4 linked regions of the Xenopus tropicalis genome follow. The protein of the gene in region 2 purifies or fractionates together with the protein of the main gene of each other region. This does not show direct contact. Links are inferred from orthologs where the notes say so. Each region holds a gene or a part of one and is shown on either strand. Other genes may lie near its edges.

Region 1 (5,246 bases), on a different chromosome or scaffold from region 2:
TAGAATGTGGTGAGAGAGACAGACCTTCCCTGCACAGGAAGTTAACAAGACAGAATGAACTTAGAACCCACACACAAACCCAAGTAATAACTTCTTCTCTCACCACCTCATAACATGTAGCAATAGGCTTCACATCTGCATATAAGATACCGGTATGACTTTATCTATATGTACATGCACTGTGTATAACCTGTGGTCTAATCTGTAGTGCTAAAAAGTATCCTGGCATCACTGATCTCAGACAAAGAACAACGATTATTTAACTTCTGTACCAAGATATACGTCCCAACCCCCATATGTAATAAAACACAAAGTTTATACCCAGGTGCAGTAACCCATAGCAGTAAGATGACTAGTACATGATTTCTGCTGATAGGTTACCAAAAGGTCATTAGACCTGCAGCAAAGTTTGCACATTATATTGCATAAACCCAAAAATATCTAGTGGAATATAACAGTGGAAAAACACCTTCAGGTATTTTATTATTTAGAGAAATATAAACATATGTAAACAGATATTTTGTAATACACAAAAATACAGCTGATTTGGAAAGCCCCATGTTTCTCAAGTGTGCCAATATCAAGTGTGTATATACCGTTTTATGGAGATGTGCATCAGTACAACCTTACATTTTTATAGAGCTGCACCAAAAATAAGCATACTTTAGATTGCGGGGTCAAAAAGCCCCTATTTGACTATATTTAGTGCTCTGTTGGTGAATGTGAAGCAGACACAATAATAAGGCAATGCAACTTCCACATCTTATTAAAGAAGAACACCTGAATAAGGATAAAACAAATGCCGTAAAAACTTAGGATACTAACTTTGGATACTTAGGAGAAACCTTAGGGCTACGGCACACAGAGCTACTTGTGGTGGCAACAAAACACCAGAAGATACCCTGTTATAGGCTAAAACACATAGAAAGACAACAATCAGTATTGCTTATTTTGTAGCCTTGACAAGTTGCTCCATTTTTCATTGCCCTTACTTTCGGCTACCCTGTAGAAGACAAGATCTAGGCCTTTAGGCTAGTCCCACACAGTGCTGATTCACAACCTGTCTATAAACACAGGCCGAGAATGAACCTGGATGGTTTTTATGGATTTAAAAACCCAACAAATTCCTTGTAGATTGTAAGCTCTTTTGGGCAAGGCTCTCTTCACCTCTTGTATCGGTTATTGATTGCTTTATATGTTACTCTGTATGTCCAATGTATGTAACTCACTTATTGTACAGCGCTGCGGAATATGTTGGCGCTTTATAAATAAATGTTAATGTAATAATGTAATGTAAGAAAATGCTCTAAGTCAGAAATTGGCTGTGACAAATAGGTACCACCTATTTTGGCATTTTGTCTGAACAGAGAAAACAGATAATGCAGGAATTCATTAAATCTCTGCTGGCAAAAATTTTTTTTGTTGGTGCCATGGCTGTGCCTAAAAAAGTCAATATCAACACATGCAGTAGCTATGAAGGCAGCTTTCTATACGATAAGTTCAACTTCTTTACTCAATTGGAATAAAGTGCAACCCCCATCCATCTATTTTATTGCATGCCTTTACCCTTCCCACCAAATGAGGTATTTTCTCCATACTTCCTACTATTCTTCCCAGCAGGTGCATCCCCATTTCACCATCCTATATATTTTCATCCCATCAAATACTTTAGGTCTCCCGAGGGTGCACTTACCCCAACCACCAAGTGGTGCTACTCTCCTTTTCTCTTGTTGGTCTCTTTGCACTTCGAGTGTTTTTTTCCCCCTATTACCACCCCCCAAGTAGTAGTAGTACAATTAGTATTTGGGGATTCATGGCACCGGTTGCTTTTACTTGGTTTTTTATTTAAAAGCATCAATAATGTAGTTACATGTATGCTTAAGCTTGCAAATTTCTTCTTATATATGCTAGCATAAAACATTTCAATCAACAAAGGCAATTTTTCCTTATGCGCAGATTACGATTCAAGCATGTAATGACAACTATACTCACAAAAGTATGCATACATACCTTATAGATACACTTATGCAGTTCACCAAATAAACTCTTGTCTTCTGGCTCTTCCTCCGTACTCTCTTTATCTTGAGTAAACAGTCTCCGTCTGCCATTTTTCACCTGGACATCCATTTCTTTCAGCTTGCCTCTGAGACCATTGCGATGCACCACTCCATTTATGAGTCCATTTTTGGGCTCGTATCTGGGGAGCAAATGTAACTTATAGGCATTGTCTGAGTGACCCTCTAGTGGACCTTTCTTCTTCTCCAGATTTTCTTTTTCCTGCAGGACTTCCTTCTCCAGTTTCTTGTGCTCCTCAGGGGAAAGGGAGTCATAGGAGAGCAGGTACTGACAGTAGGCCTCTTGCAGCTTTGCCAGACGATCCTGTGCAGTTTTCGGGATGCGTAGCATGTCCGCCAGTTTGTTCCATTTCTTGAGGTCAGTCACTTGTTGCATGCCACCCATTTCATTGATGAGTTGGAAAAACTGGGCCAAATCTAGCTCACAGCCTCCTAAAAAGAGGTTGCAAGCAAAACAAAAAAAAATCATTTAATAAAGAGAAGTGGCAATCTGCCTATTCTATCCTTCGCAAATGACAAGATCCCTCAGAAAAGCTATGAGTAGTTAATTCCTTATGAAACGGTTAGGCTACATTATAAAAACATATAATGATGCATAACCCTAATTTTTTTTTTTTTTTAAGGACTTTTACAGATTCAGAAAACATTTCAAAGCACTTTCTCCAAAAGCTTAAACAGGTCACCAAATCCACTACACTGTGCTATAAATACAGCAATTTTGCATTTTTTAACATTAACATTTTTATGCAAGCCACTCATGGGTGGCAATTTTACTTAAAGGGGTTGTTCACCTTTGAATTCATTTTAGTATGATGTAGAGAGTAATATTCTGAGACAATTTGCGATTGGTTTTTATTTTTTATTACTTGCAGTTTTTTTAGTTATTTCATTTTCAGTTCAGCAGCTCTCCAGTTTGGAGTTGCAGAAGCTCCAAGGAGAGGACATGAATAGTAAAGACAATTAGAAAAAGTAAGAACAACAATAAAACTTCACATAGCAATAGTTTTTTGGCTGCCGGGGTCATTGGAAGGCGGCAAATAATTAAAAAACTATATATAACAAATAAACAATGAAGACCAATTGAAAAATTGCTTAGAACTAAAAGTTAACATATAGGTGAACCACCCCTTTAAGAATGTTGGGAATACTCAACATAAGAGCTAAATTGTCAAAGACAAATACAAAGTTTAGAGAAAACTGAAGATATGAAAATGCACTGCAGAACATTGAGAAATAATATCTGACAACATAAGAAACAGTAAATAAAGCATTGTTTGCATACATTTTTTTTTTTTAATACATTTTGACTTACCACCAGAGCCAACAAGGTCTTGACTAAAATAAGGAGTGTGCTGTACCTTGGCTGCCGAGTTTTAATGGTTTGTAGCTAGCCTGTGGAGGACAACTGGGCTTCCCAGAGGTGATCTTGGGTATCTTCCCCACACCGTAAGCCGGCAGAGATCAAGATAAGTTGCCCAGGACACACTCTAGAGACCTGCTTGGTGAAGGGATAGCTTAACTTCTCTATTTGCCCAAGCCCTACAAGATGTGGCTCATAGTACACAGCCCCATTCTGCCACTGTGTCAGCATGGTAGGGATGTGTAAATGAAGCCTTAAAAACTGCTAATCCCTAAAAAAGTAGAGCAGAGCAGGGATCCAGAGGATCTGTCTTCGGTCAGAGCCTTGCAGAACGAGTGATGCTTGAATGCCTAGTAGGCATACCGCCACAAAGAAACAGAGAGAGATCAGTTTGTCAAGTTATTAAAACATTTGTGTCTTCTTCCAGGAACTTCACAAATGTACTTAGGGTTGTCACAAGTGGGTGTTAAGCCAGGGAATAAATCCCTGGTTCTTACTTTTGAAAAACCATTTTGAAGATATTGGTTTCCACTCTTTATATCTTCAGAAGTGTTTTTATCATTCCCTAAATCAAGTTCCCTGCATGACCTCCTTTCCATGTTCTTTTTGATTATTTCTTCAGGGAAATGTTTAGTTGCATATTAGTAAATTAAATAATATTTCAATTCACTAAGTGAGCTATTACTTGTGACAACCCTGAAAGGTACTCAATACATACATAAAAGTACATATGCATGTTGGTGTCAGCAAGAGACATTTCACCGTCAATACCTAGAATGTGTTTTACTTTTAAAACAGCAGTATTAGATAATCATAATTCAACCTCAAATCTCTAAATTGTAAGGACTGGATTGCTTATGGTAAGGGTCTGATCTTGGAAATACAGTGAAGTTAACAGGGCAGTGAATTAGTGAATTAAAAGAAAAACTTTACTGCTGCTTAAATTATATTTCAACATAGTTGAAATAATTACTGAACAACACAATCACATAAAACACACCATGTTGGGCAAATCCAACATTTAGTGAGATAAGTTCCGAGAGCTTTAGTGATGCGTGTTTGTGTCTGCTGACACACAATTGTATTCTTTGTTCATCGTACAGTATTAAATGACGTAACCTTTGTGTTACATTGTACATTTGTGGATGAATTGTTATGTTGGCCATTTATCACAAACAACAAACTTAAGTTGAAAAAAACAGAAGGAAAGTGAGATCAGCACAACAAACTTCAGCTTGGAGGGACATTTTTGGAAGAGGTGAAAAAGAAAGAGTTGTTCTTTAATTTAAAAAAATGATGATGCAAAGAAACTATTGTCCAGTCATCACACTCTGTGCCCTGGGTATAGGGTGCCTACAAAAAAAAATACGACAAACACTTTTTCAGTCCCCCAAAAATACAGCTGATATCAGAGTTCAAGCTTCTGCAGCATTCTCAGATGGCTACGTATCAATAAAAGTTTAATAGCGCATGTCTCACATTCCCTCAAGCACTGAATATGGTTGAAAAATTTGTGTTTTTCTTCTCTCTCTTTTTAAAGTGTCAACCTTCTAACATGTTGGCATCATTCAGCTACATTGGTTTTTGCTATTTTGGTATATTTCTAACAATGCAAACAGTATCCAATTATTGCTGCCCAAACACTTAACAGTCATTATTTGCAATAAAATAATACATATGATGAAATGTCATTACAATTCATCTGAGGGTAAAACGGAGTGTTTTTTTACATTTCTAATAAACAAAATATAACAGTTTAAATGGACCCTTTAAGCAGCATCTGCCAAAAAATATCAAAAAATCAAATTAGA
Region 2 (5,246 bases):
TAATATGGCAGTGTGCCCAGAGATGGGGATCTGGGACCCGGGTCAAAGGTGGAAGTTTGCGATTGCACCATAGTGGGGTGTATTTGGAGCAGGATTTTTGTACCCTGGGAAGAGGTTGGGGATGAATTGCCATGCCCGTACAGTGGCTAACATGAGGGGGGGAGGGATGCCTTTTGGGTATACCTGGTGCCCTTATGTATTAAGTTTTTAAAGGAACAGTAACACCAAAAAATGAAAGTGTATAAAAGTAACTAAAATATAATGTGCTGCTGCCCTGCACTGGTAAAAGTTGTGTGTTTACTTCAGAAAGTCTACTATAATTTATATAAATAAGCTGCTATATGTAGCCATGGAGGCAGCCATTCAAAGGAGAAAAGGCACAGGCACATAGCAGATAACAGATAAAACACTATTGTATTCTACAGAACTGTTATCTGCTATGTAACCTGTGCCTTTTCTCCTTTTTTCCAGCTTGAATGGCTGCCCCCGTGGCTACACAGCAGATTATATAAATTATAGTAGTGTTACTGTAGCAAACACACCAGTTTTACCAGTGCAGGGCAACAGTGCATTATATTTTTATTACGTGAAAGCTCTTTCATTTTTTGGTGTTACTGTTCCTTTAAGCTCTTACAAAAAGAACCAATTACTTGTGCCTCCAAGGTTGTGGCTGCTTGTGGCCCTGATGATGCTGCCCATCTCCATGCGTTTAATAATTGCGCAACTATGTAGTATATAACAGGGTATTAGGGGCTGCAAGCCCACCTTGTTCAGTAGGGAGTTGCAGGGTGTGAAAAGAAATTCTGGGGTATTCCCTGTTCCAGTATAGGGTCAGTGTCAAGGATCTAAGTTTCATAAAGATTTTATAAGGGATTACAATGGGATTGCCGAAAAACGTATGCAAACTTGGGGAGTATGGTAATTAGTACACCTGGTAGTTGGGCTGTCAATTTCAGACATATCTATGTTGTGGAGGTAATTATCTATTTCTGCCATGGTAACCTGTAGCTTGGTAGAGATTGAAATAATATGTCACAAATGAATTGTTAATCTGGTCAGGACTGGTATATAGTCTTGTCAGGGAATTCCCGTGGGTGAGGTGTTGTCCCAGGCCAAGGTGCCAAGTTTTGTCCCAGTGTTTTTTGTGAATTCTACACTACATCAGTGGTGGTGGAGTCTAAATTGGTGTCCAAATATGTTTCCAATCTGCCCAGCATGTGTGTCATTGACCCAGTAGGAACAAAGGTTTTTTTTTTTTTTTTTTTTAACTGTTCATAGTTTCATTTCAAATTCAACAACTACATACAGTAACATTGTTACAAATGAGTGCCCACTTGTTAATGCGGGTTACCTCTTCTACTATATACATTTTATATAAAATTGCACCTTTATGCTTTGTTACTTATCCAGGCAAAACTATCTCCTGACCAAAGCACTGGTGTCTAAGGCTGATACTCCCCTGCTGTAGCTTTTATAAGGCAGAGCTTTCCAAAGAGCAAAAACTTATTTCTTAAAGGAATAATGCCACCAGTAAAGGGACCTGGTGTATGGAGGTGGTATTATATAAAACTTTGGCCAAATTCTGGTATAAGTTCTTCTGACCAGGAGTCCCTTTGTTGCTAAAGATGTTCCTGTTGGCCTCCCTAGCAAAGTTGAAGTCCACTTCAGTTTATCCAAAAGGGGTCAAATATATAATTACAAACTATAGTGAAGATTCAAGGTGACCCCAAGTAAAGGAAGAAACTAATTTGTTACCTGAGATTCCACAGTAAAAAGCTCTGGAACAGTTAGACTAATGAAGGAATGTAACAGGTATATGGTTTCCAGCACTTGTTATGTTATATATATCCAGAGTGTATATATGGTGTGGCAATCTAGAGAATATTTCATTCTAGTGCAGATCTGTACAGATCCATTACAGGAACAGAAATGAACTATGAGGGAAAGTGGGACTAATTTAAGACCCTCTTTTACAGTAGGTCTAAAGTTTAAAATAAATTATAATAAATTTCCAATCTTGTTAGCCACTTTTTAAATACAAGCGACATTGCTGCTCCCTTACTCCTGATTGTCCATGCTCAGCACTATACAGCACCTGGCTCACCCAGCTACCTCTTTACATGACCCTCAGGCAGGCTGTATTGGTTCAGCAAACACTATCTCCTCCCAACCCCATAATAGCAGCTGTAAAAAAAAAAGGCTATGACGATGCATGAAAACTACTTAGAATGCGCACTATAGACCCATCTACCCCCCTCTGGGGCAACAAAACCCTTGGGAAATTGGCAGAAATGCCCCCCTCCAAGTCACTGGGTAAACTCAGGTATCACATCCATCAAAGATGTTTGGGAGGAGGGAAGGATGATCCCTTTTTCATCCCTATAACGCTACAACTCTCTACCAGGCTCTGAATAGCTAATATACCTCAGGTTGCAAATGACCCTCAAACACTTACAGTCTCATTCCTTGCCACCTCTGAGGACCCACTACTGTCAACCATAAGAAAGGGCCACAAAAAATGTCCACCCTATACAAATAACTAATCAATGCTAGCTGTGAGTCTGTTGCCTTGAAGTGTAGAGATGCATGGGAAGATGACCTGGTGTACCTGACGGGTGATCAATGAAAGGAGTTGCTATTAATCAAATTAAATTTGTTTCTATCAATTGCAGGCACAAGATGCTTCAACTATACCTTATCCACCAAGCATATTATACCACGGAGAAACTACACAAAATATATCCAGAAGTACCCCCAATGTACTAGATGCCAAACTGACACCTTATTCCATGTCCTCTGGGCATGCCCTGAACTGAAAAACTATTGGGTCAATATCCCAGACAAAATAGGCTCAGTAACTGATATAAGCATCAACCAAACTTGGTACTACTTAACATCACCACTGGTATTGAGCTTAACTTAGCTAGCCAGGGTATTCTTTCAAGCCCGTAGGCTTATTACCCTCAACTGGAAATCGCAAATGGCGCCTACCTATTGACACATGGCTTAGGGCCGTAAATGATACCTGAAAAAGCGACACAAGAAAAGCATTCCCTAAGCAGGAAAGGCAAACCCAACACCTTTATCAATATCTGGAGCAGCTGGCTAGCCCACGCCTCATAAGGCCCCTCCACAAGTACTATTACTTCCTTAGCGCCTCCACCCCTGTATCCATCACAGGGTATATGAACCCAGGAGGGGATTGTTATCGGTTATCTATTACCATAATTATAACTCTGATGTGAGTTCTATGATGAGACATGTATTTGACTGTAAAACTGTAAACCCTTGTAATTTCTCCTTGAGCGCTGTCAAATGTTTTGTACCTGAATAGTTTTCCTTTTACAATAAAACTTACCAGCACAAAAAAAAAAAAAAATACAAGCAACATTACACATGTTCAGTGTGCTCTTGGCTGTTGTCAACAAACTAAGCTTTTGGGTCACAGGAAATCATCAAACCACAAGAAGAACGTGATGTTTCATCTGTCAAATAACTCTTAAATTTTCCCTCATTTTACAATTTGTGGTCTCCTGAATGATGCATTTCCCTTATTTTACATTTTCCAGGATTTTAGTGTTTTTCTGGTCCCATGAAAAACGTAAAATGGGGGTTCTACTGTAATTCTACAGGGCTAATTAATAACCAGTGACATTTTTGAATCTAAATCACTACTCACTGTATGATGAAAAGTATATTCTATTTATACCTGAGCTTTATACCTTAAGCTAAAACAAGTGTTTAAAATTAACAAAAAAAGATGATGGGGAGCTACTTGAGGTAGCTTCATTAATTTGTACCTGGAAACAATAGATGAGGTAGTTTCTTTTGCACTGACAGCACCACTGGTTTCTAAATCTGAGTTACTGGATGATGAATTGGTCACCTCCGGTTTCCTGCTAAACAGAACACGTTTGTTTATAAAAACAAAACAAAAAGGCAGTAGATTAAAAACAAAACTAAAAACCCATACCTTCTTTGTTCTGGTGTATCTAACAAGGAATTCTCTGATACAGGTTCAGTATCCATGTTCTGCAAAGGATATCAATACATTTTAGAATTTATCTAGCACTGTACATTTAGTATAACTTGTACTGTTTCTCAATATTATTATTATTATTTTCTATTTATAAAATAACATTTTCCACAGTGTTATGGAATATACAAGAATGAATACAAGAAAAAACAACCAGTACAAGAGGTAAAGAGGGCCCCTGCCCAAAAGAGCTTACAGTCTACTGTCTGATTGCTATTATGCTTTAAGATAGAGGTTGGATTAATTTAATCTGTGGGACTGTTTGAAAAGGGATATTTTACTTGCCTGCACAGTTCTGACTATTGAGATCTGGCATGATATGGAGGGTATCAAGGGAGCAGTGGGCAGGTAAAAGATTGCATTTCTGAAGAATATAGCTGCTTAAACCGATTGCATTTTGATGATTCTATACTGCTCAGCTTTGCGTTTAGAGTACTGCTAGTAGAGAAAACATTTAAGCAAATGTGGAAGTGGGCAAGAGTGCCCATACTGCATACCATTCACTTTAAAAGGAGATCTAAACTAACATAATAAGAAACTTTCAGTGTAGGATTTGTAGCTCAGCAAACTGAATATACTTAATAAGGATCTGAATACCTTTGCATGGCACTACATAGGAAACTAACTCACCTCACCTACTGTTTGTTGTATCGATACAGCAGGTTAAGCTTCACCTGCTTTCTGAGACAAAATGGAGAGGGACAGTGTGCATGGTCTGCTTAAAACAGCAGCAGAATACAGCAAGGTCCATGGGCAAGGCCTAAGGAGAGTGTTCAGTGCCCTCAAGAGCAGCTTCCTCAGGCAAGGTTGCAAACAGTTAATGCTGGCCAAGAATGTTTGATGTATGTGTGTATATTTTTATTGATACAGTGCTACTTATGCACACAGCACTGTGCAACAGAAGTTGACTGAGCACAGAGGGAATAACCTATTTGAAAGTCATTCAAGGTGGGGCCAGATACATTCCCTGGGCAGTAAGGAGGGATTTTAAGAATCAAGTCCCAAAGGAACATGGAGCACGTAGCCAGTAAAAAAAATAACAAAAAGACTGTTGATGAGTCCCTAGCTGTCCCAGGTACTTCATGTGTCACTGGAGGGCATGCAGAAGACAGCACTAACTAAAACAGAAACCTTAAAAAATACTAAACCTCTTCTATGCCTCATACCACACGATACACTCTGGTTTCATAAAAATGAGCTTCTGACTATT
Region 3 (5,246 bases), on a different chromosome or scaffold from region 2:
ATCACACTGACTGTAATCAAAGCGCCCCAGAATGGTCACGTTGGACTCGCTGGCTTTGATCTTGTCTATATCATCTTCCATTTTACCAGGTTTCCAGCACACGATTGCATTTTCACAAGACTGAAATTACAGAGTAAATGCATTCAGCCTCCTTCTACACAAATATCCATCACCGGGCGGATATCGTATCTGTAGGTCCAGCTGTTGGGCAGGGCCCCTTTATCTCTGGTTGTTGTTTACTGTATGTAACTGTATGATCAATGCATACACAAAGTGATAGCGACAGTAACACTCACCTTAGACAAAATAAGGTCTCCTAACCACCTGACACAATCAACATAGTTTCTGTGTATGTCCCTTGTGGAAAAATCAGGGAAATGGATTTTCTGCGAGACAAATGGCCTGCAATGAGAAAATACAGATTAGTTAGAGAAATCCACTTGTAATACAATTTTAATCTAAAACATTCAATATTTCACTGTAAAAATGTATATAACTCACCTTAATAAATTAGCAAACCCATTTAAGCCATTACTTAAGGAGGACACTGCTCATTTGTGCATTAAAGGGGTTGTTCACCTTTGTACAACATTCACAAATCTAACAGTTCACATTAATAGAATCTTTGCCATATAGTTAACAAAACATGTGCTGCTGAAGAGATATTCACCTTAGAATCATCCCTTCACTTCTGCACAGGCCAAGTACTGGGATGGGGGGGGGGGCAGTGAGGGGGCTGTTCCTGCTGAATTGTGCTTAGTACAGGGGAATCCCTATGTGCCATAGTTTTATGGTATCTCTCTGTACAGGCTATGAGCAAACTTAGGGGGCTGTTCCTGCTGAATTGTGCTTAGTACAGGGGAATCCCTATGTGCCATAGTTTTATGGTATCTCTCTGTACAGGCTATGAGCAAACTTAGGGGGCTGTTCCTGCTGAATTGTGCTTAGTACAGGGGAATCCCTATGTGCCATAGTTTTATGGTATCTCTCTGTACAGGCTATGAGCAAACTTAGGGGGCTGTTCCTGCTGAATTGTGCTTAGTACAGGGGAATCTCTATGCTGCCATAGTTTTATGGTATCTCTCTGTACAGGCTATGAGCAAACTTAGGGGGCTGTTCCTGCTGAATTGTGCTTAGTACAGGGGAATCCCTATGCTGCCATAGTTTTATGGTATCTCTCTGTACAGGCTATGAGCAAACTTAGGGGGCTGTTCCTGCTGAATTGTGCTTAGTACAGGGGAATCCCTATGCTGCCATAGTTTTATGGTATCTCTCTGTACAGGCTATGAGCAAACTTAGGGGGCTGTTCCTGCTGAATTGTGCTTAGTACAGGGGAATCTCTATGCTGCCATAGTTTTATGGTATCTCTCTGTACAGGCTATGAGCAAACTTAGGGGGCTGTTCCTGCTGAATTGTGCTTAGTACAGGGGAATCCCTATGCTGCCATAGTTTTATGGTATCTCTCTGTACAGGCTATGAGCAAACTTAGGGGGCTGTTCCTGCTGAATTGTGCTTAGTACAGGGGAATCCCTATGCTGCCATAGTTTTATGGTATCTCTCTGTACAGGCTATGAGCAAACTTAGGGGGCTGTTCCTGCTGAATTGTGCTTAGTACAGGGGAATCCCTATGCTGCCATAGTTTTATGGTATCTCTCTGTACAGGCTATGAGCAAACTTAGGGAACTATTATAGAACTATTGACAAATAAAGTAGAGGGCTTTACTAAATGGGAATTAATGCATGAATAAATAGCTGCTGTGAGAGACACACACAAACTGACCCTTGCAGCTGCACTGTCAGTTACTGAGCAGACTTTCCAGCTTCTGTGGTTACTATAAGCACTGCTGCCATTTTATTGTATGCCTGTAAGGCTGGTTATTGCTTGGATACCAAACATTGACCTGCGGGGTCCAGAACCGAGCTCAGTCAAGCATCGCATTACCTGTTTGTTTTATTGGGGTTGTATTCGTAAGACTCTCTGATGGCCGTCTTCATTCTTAAAGAATTAATTCTCCAGAGCTTAAGGGAATGGTCCATACCACATGACATGATCTTCTCACCAAGCAAATCATAGTCCTAAGGCAAAGAGGCAGCAAGTTAAGACTGAGCTATGGCTACGTAAAACAATATGAAAATTAAATTCTACATGCTCTATATTAGAAACGTTTTTCCGAAAGAAAATATTTCCGCAACAATAAAGCCTAACAAAATATTCAAGTCAAGAAATCAAAAATCCGTGTGCCCTGAGCTAAACTAGAGAAGAAATGTAGGCGTGAATAAACCCATTAGGCTGGCTGTATGTGGGCCGATACTGAATACTTCTGAGCAAGTCAGCAGCTCATTGGCCCTTTCACTGAGTCAAAACGATAGTCTCATTGCTAATAGGGGAACTCCGGCTTCTGTACCAGAATTTCTTAAAGAGCCCCACACAGCACAGAAACCCCCAATATAGGGATCCCTGTAATCTGTTCAAAAAGAAGGAATAAATACCATTTTTTATGCTAAAATCCAGCTGCAAAACAGTTCTTCTCTTTCTGCATCATCTGAAATCCTGGCAGGGGAGGAGGGACTAAAGCCCTGATGTTACAAATTGTAACAACTTCTCCCCAGCTTACAGACAGCATGCAGTAACTACATAACCCACAATGCATTGCACTGGGATGTTCCTTTCCTTACTGACATCACGTGTGCAGCAGGGGATTGTGGGATTGGGAGGAGGCAGGCTGAGAACAGGCAACTACTGTTACATGTTATTTGAGTCACAAAGTAGTCAGCCAATCAGCAGGGGAACAGGGGGCGGGGCTTAGGGAACTGTTCCAAACCAGATTATTACATTAAACATCATGAAAAGGCTGCATATTTTCTAAGTAAAAATACTTGAATTTATGTTTACTTTTCTAAACGCTTAAGTTGTGTTTGGGTTAATATCTGACTGGGATGAGTTTATATATTGTGCAGGAAAGGGGGACAGCATGCTTCTCTCTCAACAGGTCTACACAGCACTAACACCCCCCCAAATGCAGTATACATACCGCGCTTAACACTTCATCTCTGTGACCTTCCACTCCACCAAAAATGGCTACAAGTGTGTCTGTCTGTATGTTCCAAAGTCTTAGCGCATGATCTGCGGGGGGCATAAAACATGGTGTAAAAAAAATAAGACACATACAAACCAGCAGCCATAGCCTTTAGCGGCACAGAGCTGCTCTTAACCACAGTACATAGAGTTGGTTATGATATAAATTCACTTCTGCACATTATATACAAAAATAAGGTGACCCCCTAGACACTAAAGCTCCACCAACCCCTTCAGAGCTTATACAGTTCCACACCTACCTTTGCTAACTGATAGGAGGAGGTTTGGATCCCTTGGATGAAATTTAAGCTCATTGATAGCATTTCCGTGGCCCACATAGTGCTAGAAGAAAGTGGAAGGAAAATTAAAGATATTATGCATGGTTATATATTCCATGTACAATGCTATTTGCAATCCTACAGAAAAAGGGGGATACTTTTAGTATGATGTACAGAGTAATATTCTGAGACAATTTGCAATTGGTCTTCATTTTTTATTATTTGTGCTTTTTAATTATTACACTTTTTGGTTGCTAGGGTTAAAAATGAATAGGAGAGAACCTGAATAGAAAGATAAGCAATAAAAATTGTAGCCTCACAGAACAGCTTATTTTTGGCTTTTAGGGTCAGTGATCCCCATTTAAGAGTTGGCAAGTGTTAGAAGAAACTATAAAAAACTATAAGACGAATTGCTTAGAACTGGCCATTCTAAAATGTACCTAAAGGTGATCCTTCCCTTTAACACAATCAAATGAGTAAATGAGACAAACAATATATTGAAAGCTGGAGTTTCTGTACAGCTGCAGCATTTAAAATCTGGTGATAGCCGTAAAGACTACTCAACTTGCTTATACAAGAAGGGTATTTAGGGTAGGAACCCACAGAGTGGTTCAGTGGCCCACGACAAACCGCTTTGGAAAGGTTTTCCACCGGCAACTGTAGGAGCCGCCAGTGAAAAGCCCTTTGCATCACTTTGTTTTCCAAAGCCCTGAAGATTTTGCATTACTGAAACAATGTGAAGGGCTTTCCACCGGTGACTCCTACTGTCTCCAGTGGAAAACCTTTCCAAAGCAGTTTGTCGTGGGCCACTGAACCGCTCTGTGAGTTCTTACCCTTAAGCACCGATCTTCAAACAGTGAGGGCAGCATCAAACCCAGACTACAGATTAAGATATCAGCTACTAACAAGCTTGTAAATGATCCCACGGATGCAAGGAAAATCCTCTTACCTTAATACACTGCATAGTAATAGGATTAATTATCCTTATGATCCCTCTAGAACCAGCCACTGCTAGAAGTGGGTGACTTGTGTTGCTGTCGTACGTCCAAGCGCAAGTATAAAAGTTCTCATCTGCCTGAATGTAAGAATTAAGGAGAGAAAAAGCTGTACATGGAATCCGTCGCAGTCCCAGACCCAAGGGCGGAGAGGCACCCCAGTTCATGACACCCACAATTCCCCACTGATAGATAATGTCTGAATCATTAAATTAATTGCTCTTACTGACTATTAGCACACTCCCAGTTAACATGAGGGGTCACAAATACCCAGGTTAAAGATTAGGGATGCACCAAATCCACTATTTTGGGATATGGCCGAACCCTGAATCCATCATAAAAGATTTGGCTAAATAACGAACCCTAATTGGAATATACAAATAAGGCTGTGGAATGGTTAAAGAGAACCATATGCAAAGTACGAGGTGAAAATGTTTCAACTTCCGTGTTTATGTGACAAAAAGGTCATGTGACTTAAAGGATTCTGTTGGGCCAGGTCCATGGACTCAGCTGAATCCTGCTGAAAAAGGCCAAATCCCGAACCAAATCCTGGATTTAATCCTGCAGCGCCGGGTTCCTAGGCTCCTCTGCAAAGAGTCTGTATGTTCTCCCCGAGTTTGTGTGGCTTTTTCTGGGTACCCTGTTTTCCTCCCACACCCAAATACATACAGCCAGGTAACCTGGCTTCTGAAACAACTAGTGTGTGTGTGTGTGTGAATGTGATTGGGAACCTAGATTGTAACCGTGAACAACAATTAACTGCAAATTCCAAATATTTTCAGCAAAAAGCAAAACTCGTCAAGGATACGTCGGCGTCCACATAGGACTGCAGCAGTCGGATTTCCCCCTGTGGGTGGCATTCATATAACGTTACCTATGTGAGAAAAACAAACATTC
Region 4 (5,964 bases), on a different chromosome or scaffold from region 2:
CCCACTCTCTTTAAGAAAAAACTCAGCTGTTACCTTCTGGAGCACTAAAACATTATTTTGTCCAGTCCTGCACTTAAGGGCAAATGCCCCTACCTGGTGCATTCTTACTTTCCAATTTGTGCCTGAATGTTACCCAACCACTTAGATTGTAAGCTCTACAGGGCAGGGAGGTCCTTCCTACTGTGTTTCATACCACATGGCACTTATTCCCTGTGCATTGATATATATTTATTATATTTATTTATTACAACACTTGTCCTCCCTGTGTGTAATTTTGTATTTTACAGTGCTGCGTACCCTTGTGGCGCTTTATAAATAAAGTTATACATACATAGATTGGAGGAATCACCACAACAGGACCAGCAAGATCTCAGATCAAGCACTCACTGTACATACACTATGCGACCATCTTCTGCATAGATCAGCAGTCAGTGAGAGTGTTTATCTAGACCTGTGAAGACTAAAGGTCCCCATACACGGGCCGACTATAGGGGCCGATTCGGCAGCTAATCGGCCCGTGTATGGGCAGAACAGAGCGACCTGGCTGACCGATATCTGGCCTGAAATTGGCCAGATCTCGATCGCCCAGGTTAGAATATCCGGTTGGATATCCGGGGACCGCATCAACGAGCCGATGCGGTCCCCGAACCGAATGCCCCATAACCACAAATGTAATCCGATCGTTTGGCCCATTACTTTTTTTTTTAAGTTACTTGCTACCCGATATCGCCCACCCGTAGGTGGGGATATCGGGTGAAGATCCGCTCGCTTGGCGACATCGCCAAGCGAGCAGATCTTATAATGTATGGGCACCTTTAGCAAGAGTTTAAAAAGCTAAAGTCAACTACAGAAAACCCTGCTTTTCAGACAGTGAAACTGTCATGATTTCCTAATTTTCCATTAAGTATGACTTCACTAAAATCCTTGGAGAATGTTTTGGTGGTGAAGGTGCTGCCCTAAGGTTCTGGGATGAGAGAATGATTTGATAAAAGAAAAGGTCTTTGGACTCTCAAAGATCTTACAATGAAAGGGAAAACCTTTGGTGCGAAGATCTTTCCCATCTTTTAATATATGGTCCATGGCCTCCTCTGGCTAGTGTCTGCCAAGTCATTGCTGGAACAGTTTTTCATTTCATCATGGGCTTGAAAGATAGACAAGTGGGCAGTAATGAACAAAGAGCCCCAGAAAGGTGGAAAAGGAGTCCCAAATAACTAACCTACTGAAGAGTTTGTCTCCAACTGCATCTGCTTGACATTAAATGGCACAGACAAGGACTCTGGAGGCAGCTCCATGTCCAACATTTTTCCTATCCTACTTTGGTGCACACTGGGATGGGACAAGTGGAACCACTTGTGGAATACATCTTGGTTTTACCTAGATCTTACAAACTTTGTGAGAGAGCACCAATAGGACAAATTCAATATACACTTGTGGAAAGATAATCAGCGAGCTGATCAGAGGCATGGATGTGTTGGGAGTCTATTCCAGTGCTTCCAACTGACATTGCAATGATTTCCATTTTGTTGTGATAGTTGCGTTGTGGTGCATGTGCATTAACCAACGCTGGTTCCACCCAACTGCCTATCAGGAGATGTTTGAGAAGTGCGCATTCTATTTTGATTTTTAGCCACAGAAAATGCACACTCCCAGTAACTCCAAACATGCCAGATAAACCAAAACTCGTCACTACATTAACGATGAAGCAATAATAGACCAGCAAGAGCCTTAAGATAAATGAAAAACTTCAGCCCGACACTGGTAAATACATAACCCTGACCCTAAAGATAGACAAATCGCAAAGATAGACATCCTCTGCATGTCTCCAATTTATGTGTTAGTGTAGCTGGAACAACTGCTTGTGTGGGCACATAGTGGCAGCCAAAAATCATACACACCCACTGCCATGTACAAATATCAGATGCAATTTCTGACAGTGCATTTCCAACTATACTCACTTAAAAATTGGATATGCGGGTCAGACCCTAGAGCTAAAAAGGAATTTTAATATATAACAAAATAAATACACAAGACAAATCTTGAAGGAAAAAAAACATACCAAGTGATGATGATCTGTCACACAATATCATCCGACGACTGACACAACTTTGTCATGCACAAAATGACTTCTTAAAGCAGCAGCCGGATACAGCACAAAAACAGCTGACCGTGGAGCTGCTGTCATACAGCCCTTTGGAGTCTGTTTCAATAAGTTAATCACCCCATGTATGTCCCAGCACACACATGCCCTTTCTATACCGTCAATGACACTAGTGTATAACACGTTTTCAAAACTATTACAACTTCCTGCATTGTGTCTTGTATGCACCCACGCAGTACCTCCTCTTGTTGCCGACAGACTGTTCCATGACTCTTATCTGATGACAACTTTTTACTTTGCTCTGCACACCCTCACCTGCAGGTTTTAGCTACACCAATAACGTACGTGGAAAAAGCTTGATTTCTGTCTAGTCCTTAGTGCTCAACTGATGCAACTTCACTACAGTAGCACTTAACCCCCTACCACTATATTGGCACCACACAGTTCCTCTCATTCCTCAATCAGAAAGTCACTTGGCCCTACAGAGGTTTTGAGGTAGAATATTAAGAGAAACCTGCGACTTGCTGAAGAGGGCTTTGGATGGCCCAGCATGGTTGTCCTCTCTTCATGTGTGACAGCTGCCCTGCCATGGATGTTCAGTGTCCCCTCAGACTGTTGTTGAAGTATAACTTTCACCAATGTCAGTGCTGGGAGTTGTAGTTCAACAGCTGGAAACCAACAAAGAGGCAACACCAAATACAGATGATATGCAGAAGACTAGCAAACCCTTGGAGGTGTTGCTGGGATATGCAATCCTACAATACATGTTCAGTCCAACTTAGAGTTGGACTGCATCAACAGTCCTTGACCCTAAGACACCAGAGTTTAAATCTTAACCTGCTACTTCCACGTTCGAATGCAGAGATGTGAAACACAGAGTACAAGCTCTGGCCACACTACAATTCCCAGAATCACCAGAAACCCGCTACAGGCTAAAGGCATCCTATGGTTGTCACAGGATTGGCCCGATCACTTATGTGTTGGTATATTGTCTATCTTACACGTCCATTGAAGTTAAATCTCCATTACACAGCACTTCGGACCATACAACCCTGTTATTGTAATCAAACCACGATTTGACAGTGAAAATATTCCCGCATTAAACTCCAGCTGTAAGGTTGCATTTGGAGCCCCTCCCCCTCTGTTGCCGGGGGCGGCCCCTTTGTCCTCGTCTGCTCCCACATAGGGCCCACATTACCAATGTGCCCGGTACATAATTAGGCTCTATTTCAATTACCGTGTCTATGACCGTCTCCCCTTCGCCTGGCTCTCCTCTTCCGTTCTTACTACCCGAATCTCCTTACCGATGGAATCCCTATTGCACTACCGCCAGCCCCAGGCGCCAAACTAAATCTCCCAGATAAACCTCCACCTCTCGCAGCTTTCAGCCACCCCCATGACCGGTGCTTAGCTCCCTCTAACTAGGTTCCAATTGGCTTGCTCAAGGGCGCCCGGAACTGTACGAGCCAATAGGAAAGCAGAGAGGGAAAACGAAGCCGGCGCCAGCTATTCCCTCATACAGTGTTATAGAGCCGCTGTGCACTCTGTTTTCCTTTGTTCTGGCCGTACTCTAAAACTGACTGAGACGGGGGCGCGCTCTGGCGCTTTTTGGTCTACTCCAATATATATTTTACTTTATACTACATTATTAATGTTTTATTGCTCAACCAATATTCTCATCTCTGGGTGTGTTTGAAAATTTACAACTGGTTTACGATAAAAAAAAAAATATATATACATATACAATATGCCATCGGTTTTATCCCGAGTTATAGCAGCCGGCGCGCCCATTCAGAATATAATTGTTCTGTTCTTGAAGTAGCCGGGATGAATATCACACGCTTTATAACAGCTGTGACTTGTGTACACGATTCACACGGATATGACTCTGCCGTATAGGGGTTAAGAACGGTCCTACCGGGCGCTGACAATTCCCGCCGTATCAATGCAGCGCGGAATTAGAAATGGAGCAATTCAAACTGAAAGCGTTTTGGGCGGTGACTGTAGAAAGGGGCGTGGTCTATAGATCACGTGCTCTCCTACACCAGCGACAGAATGGCCCCAGGTAACCTGGCGGCAGAACGTGTTGGTTGAGGCAGATTGCTGGGGAATTGTGGGAAGGGAAGTGCAAGGTTGTATAGTTGCTATTAGTTGTCTTCGAACGAACTCGATCAGTGCCACTGTGTTTTTAATGCATGTTGGCCGAAACGTAGTAATACTTTGATGTGTACGTTTATAGAGGGGCTGACAAGTTTATATCTTTACACGAAATTTGCCCTAGTGTGGATTTGTAGGAGCTGCTCGACACAGCCCTTCGATCTGAATGGGCTAGTATGGTATGTTACGGACTCCAGTCAGCTCTAGTGTCTAATGGGGCACAAAGGTGGGCCTGTCTCTTTCTATGTGCTTTGGTATTTGACCGGCCGCACACATGCAGCTATGATTTGCTCCCAGTACTACATTAGCATGGGTTGCACACCTGTTTATCAATAGGTTTAATGCCACACTGTTACACACGGGTTGCAGGGCCTATGGGTAAACCGGGCCGAGGAACAAAACAAAAGATCTATTAAAGATTTCATGGGATGTGATTTCTTACTAAATTCAGCTGCTTAATTGGGCCTTAAAACACAACACCTGTCCCAATGAGCCTATCCAAATAAAGTATCAAGTACACAAAGGGGCCCATTTATCAATGTTTGATTGAGTCCGGATACAAAAAAAATTGTATTTTTTCTAAGTTTTATAAATGTGTGTGTATTTTCTGCAATTTGTTTATTAATTTCAGCAACTTTTTCGTACTTTGCGTATGAAAGTTTCAGGATTCATTAAAGCTTCAGTATCCTTTGGCCAGGTGCTGCATACAGGCACGGATTTGTGGCGAGGCCACAAAGGCCCGGGCCTAGGGCGGAACATATGTAGGGGCGGCATGCCGCCCAGTCGCATTGTGATGTTGCTCATACGGAGCAATGGGGACCGGATGCGCAGAAACTTCAGCGCGTCCTCTCCCCACCGATCCGTATGACTTAAGTGGCGCGCATGCACAAACGGGAGGGGTGGTTGGCTGCGCTAAAGGTGCAGGTGTATGCATGCACGATCGAAGTAGGCAGGCGGCAGAATGGGGGCGGCCTTGGGGCACCAAATACAGAAATCCGGCCCTGGCTGCAGAGTGCCGTTGAGTCCTATGGGAGGCTTCCAAAGTCATGCACTGAAGGATTAAAGTTAGAAAGTTTTTGGTTCCATTTAGGATAGTTCGGATACAAAAATTTTGTGTCAAACGTAAACGATCATTTCAATACGAAAATTTCTGAACTTTTAGATCATAAGTATGAAATTTTTGTATTCAAACGAAAAGAATTTTCAATCATCAGAAATGATTGGATTTCGTGATTCGGATTTGTACCTTAGTGAATCGGCCCCAACATGTTAAAAACCTGAAAATAACAATATTGAAGGCAGTATAATAGAGCAGGGAAACAACCAGTCCTTTCCTACAGTCTGCTTTATGGGTACACATTAGGCTCCCAAGTTATATTTAGAAGCAACCATGCTAAATGCTAAAATGATTTGAGCGCCATTCCATGGGTCTTTTGTGCCTTCTTTCTTTTAGATTAGGATATTCAAACTGCCTGTCATGCTGGCATACAGATGGCTAATGGCAATGATCTGTGAGTTTAAGCTGATGGGCAGAAACATGATTGAAACATAGTATTATAGGATGTTGTAGGGCAGGGGTAGGGAACCTATGGCTCGGGAGCCAGATGTGGCTCTTTTGATGGCTGCATCTGGCTCACTGACAAATCTTTAATAAAAAAAATAACGGGAGACATGGCCTGCGCTTGGCGGATAGAAGACACGTTCTAAGC

Evidence for each region.
Region 1: the proteins of mtf2 (region 2) and jarid2 purify together in Homo sapiens (affinity purification with mass spectrometry; 3 studies listed by BioGRID and IntAct, with this or other methods). This does not show direct contact. The link is inferred for Xenopus tropicalis from reciprocal best matches to the Homo sapiens genes MTF2 and JARID2.
Region 3: the proteins of mtf2 (region 2) and eed purify together in Homo sapiens (affinity purification with mass spectrometry; 3 studies listed by BioGRID and IntAct, with this or other methods). This does not show direct contact. The link is inferred for Xenopus tropicalis from reciprocal best matches to the Homo sapiens genes MTF2 and EED.
Region 4: the proteins of mtf2 (region 2) and ezh2 purify together in Homo sapiens (affinity purification with mass spectrometry; 10 studies listed by BioGRID and IntAct, with this or other methods). This does not show direct contact. The link is inferred for Xenopus tropicalis from reciprocal best matches to the Homo sapiens genes MTF2 and EZH2.

What each region holds. Positions count from the first base shown.
Region 1 is NC_030682.2:92,472,274-92,477,519, reverse strand, and holds part of jarid2 (protein Jumonji), read right to left. Parts: intron 2,508-5,246; coding exon 2,011-2,507; intron 30-2,010; coding exon 1-29.
Region 2 is NC_030680.2:104,196,756-104,202,001, forward strand, and holds part of mtf2 (metal-response element-binding transcription factor 2), read right to left. Parts: intron 4,033-5,246; coding exon 3,974-4,032; intron 3,900-3,973; coding exon 3,801-3,899; intron 1-3,800. UniProt on the Homo sapiens protein: Polycomb group (PcG) protein that specifically binds histone H3 trimethylated at 'Lys-36' (H3K36me3) and recruits the PRC2 complex, thus enhancing PRC2 H3K27me3 methylation activity.
Region 3 is NC_030678.2:168,812,387-168,817,632, forward strand, and holds part of eed (polycomb protein eed), read right to left. Parts: intron 5,224-5,246; coding exon 5,158-5,223; intron 4,430-5,157; coding exon 4,304-4,429; intron 3,419-4,303; coding exon 3,337-3,418; intron 3,125-3,336; coding exon 3,033-3,124; intron 2,077-3,032; coding exon 1,943-2,076; intron 403-1,942; coding exon 297-402; intron 121-296; coding exon 1-120. UniProt on the Homo sapiens protein: Polycomb group (PcG) protein. Component of the PRC2/EED-EZH2 complex, which methylates 'Lys-9' and 'Lys-27' of histone H3, leading to transcriptional repression of the affected target gene.
Region 4 is NC_030682.2:55,122,602-55,128,565, reverse strand, and holds the start of ezh2 (histone-lysine N-methyltransferase EZH2), read right to left. Parts: upstream 3,428-5,964; 5' UTR 3,336-3,427; intron 2,767-3,335; exon of another isoform or gene 2,651-2,766; coding exon of another isoform or gene 2,613-2,650; intron 1-2,612. UniProt on the Homo sapiens protein: Polycomb group (PcG) protein. Catalytic subunit of the PRC2/EED-EZH2 complex, which methylates 'Lys-9' (H3K9me) and 'Lys-27' (H3K27me) of histone H3, leading to transcriptional repression of the affected target gene.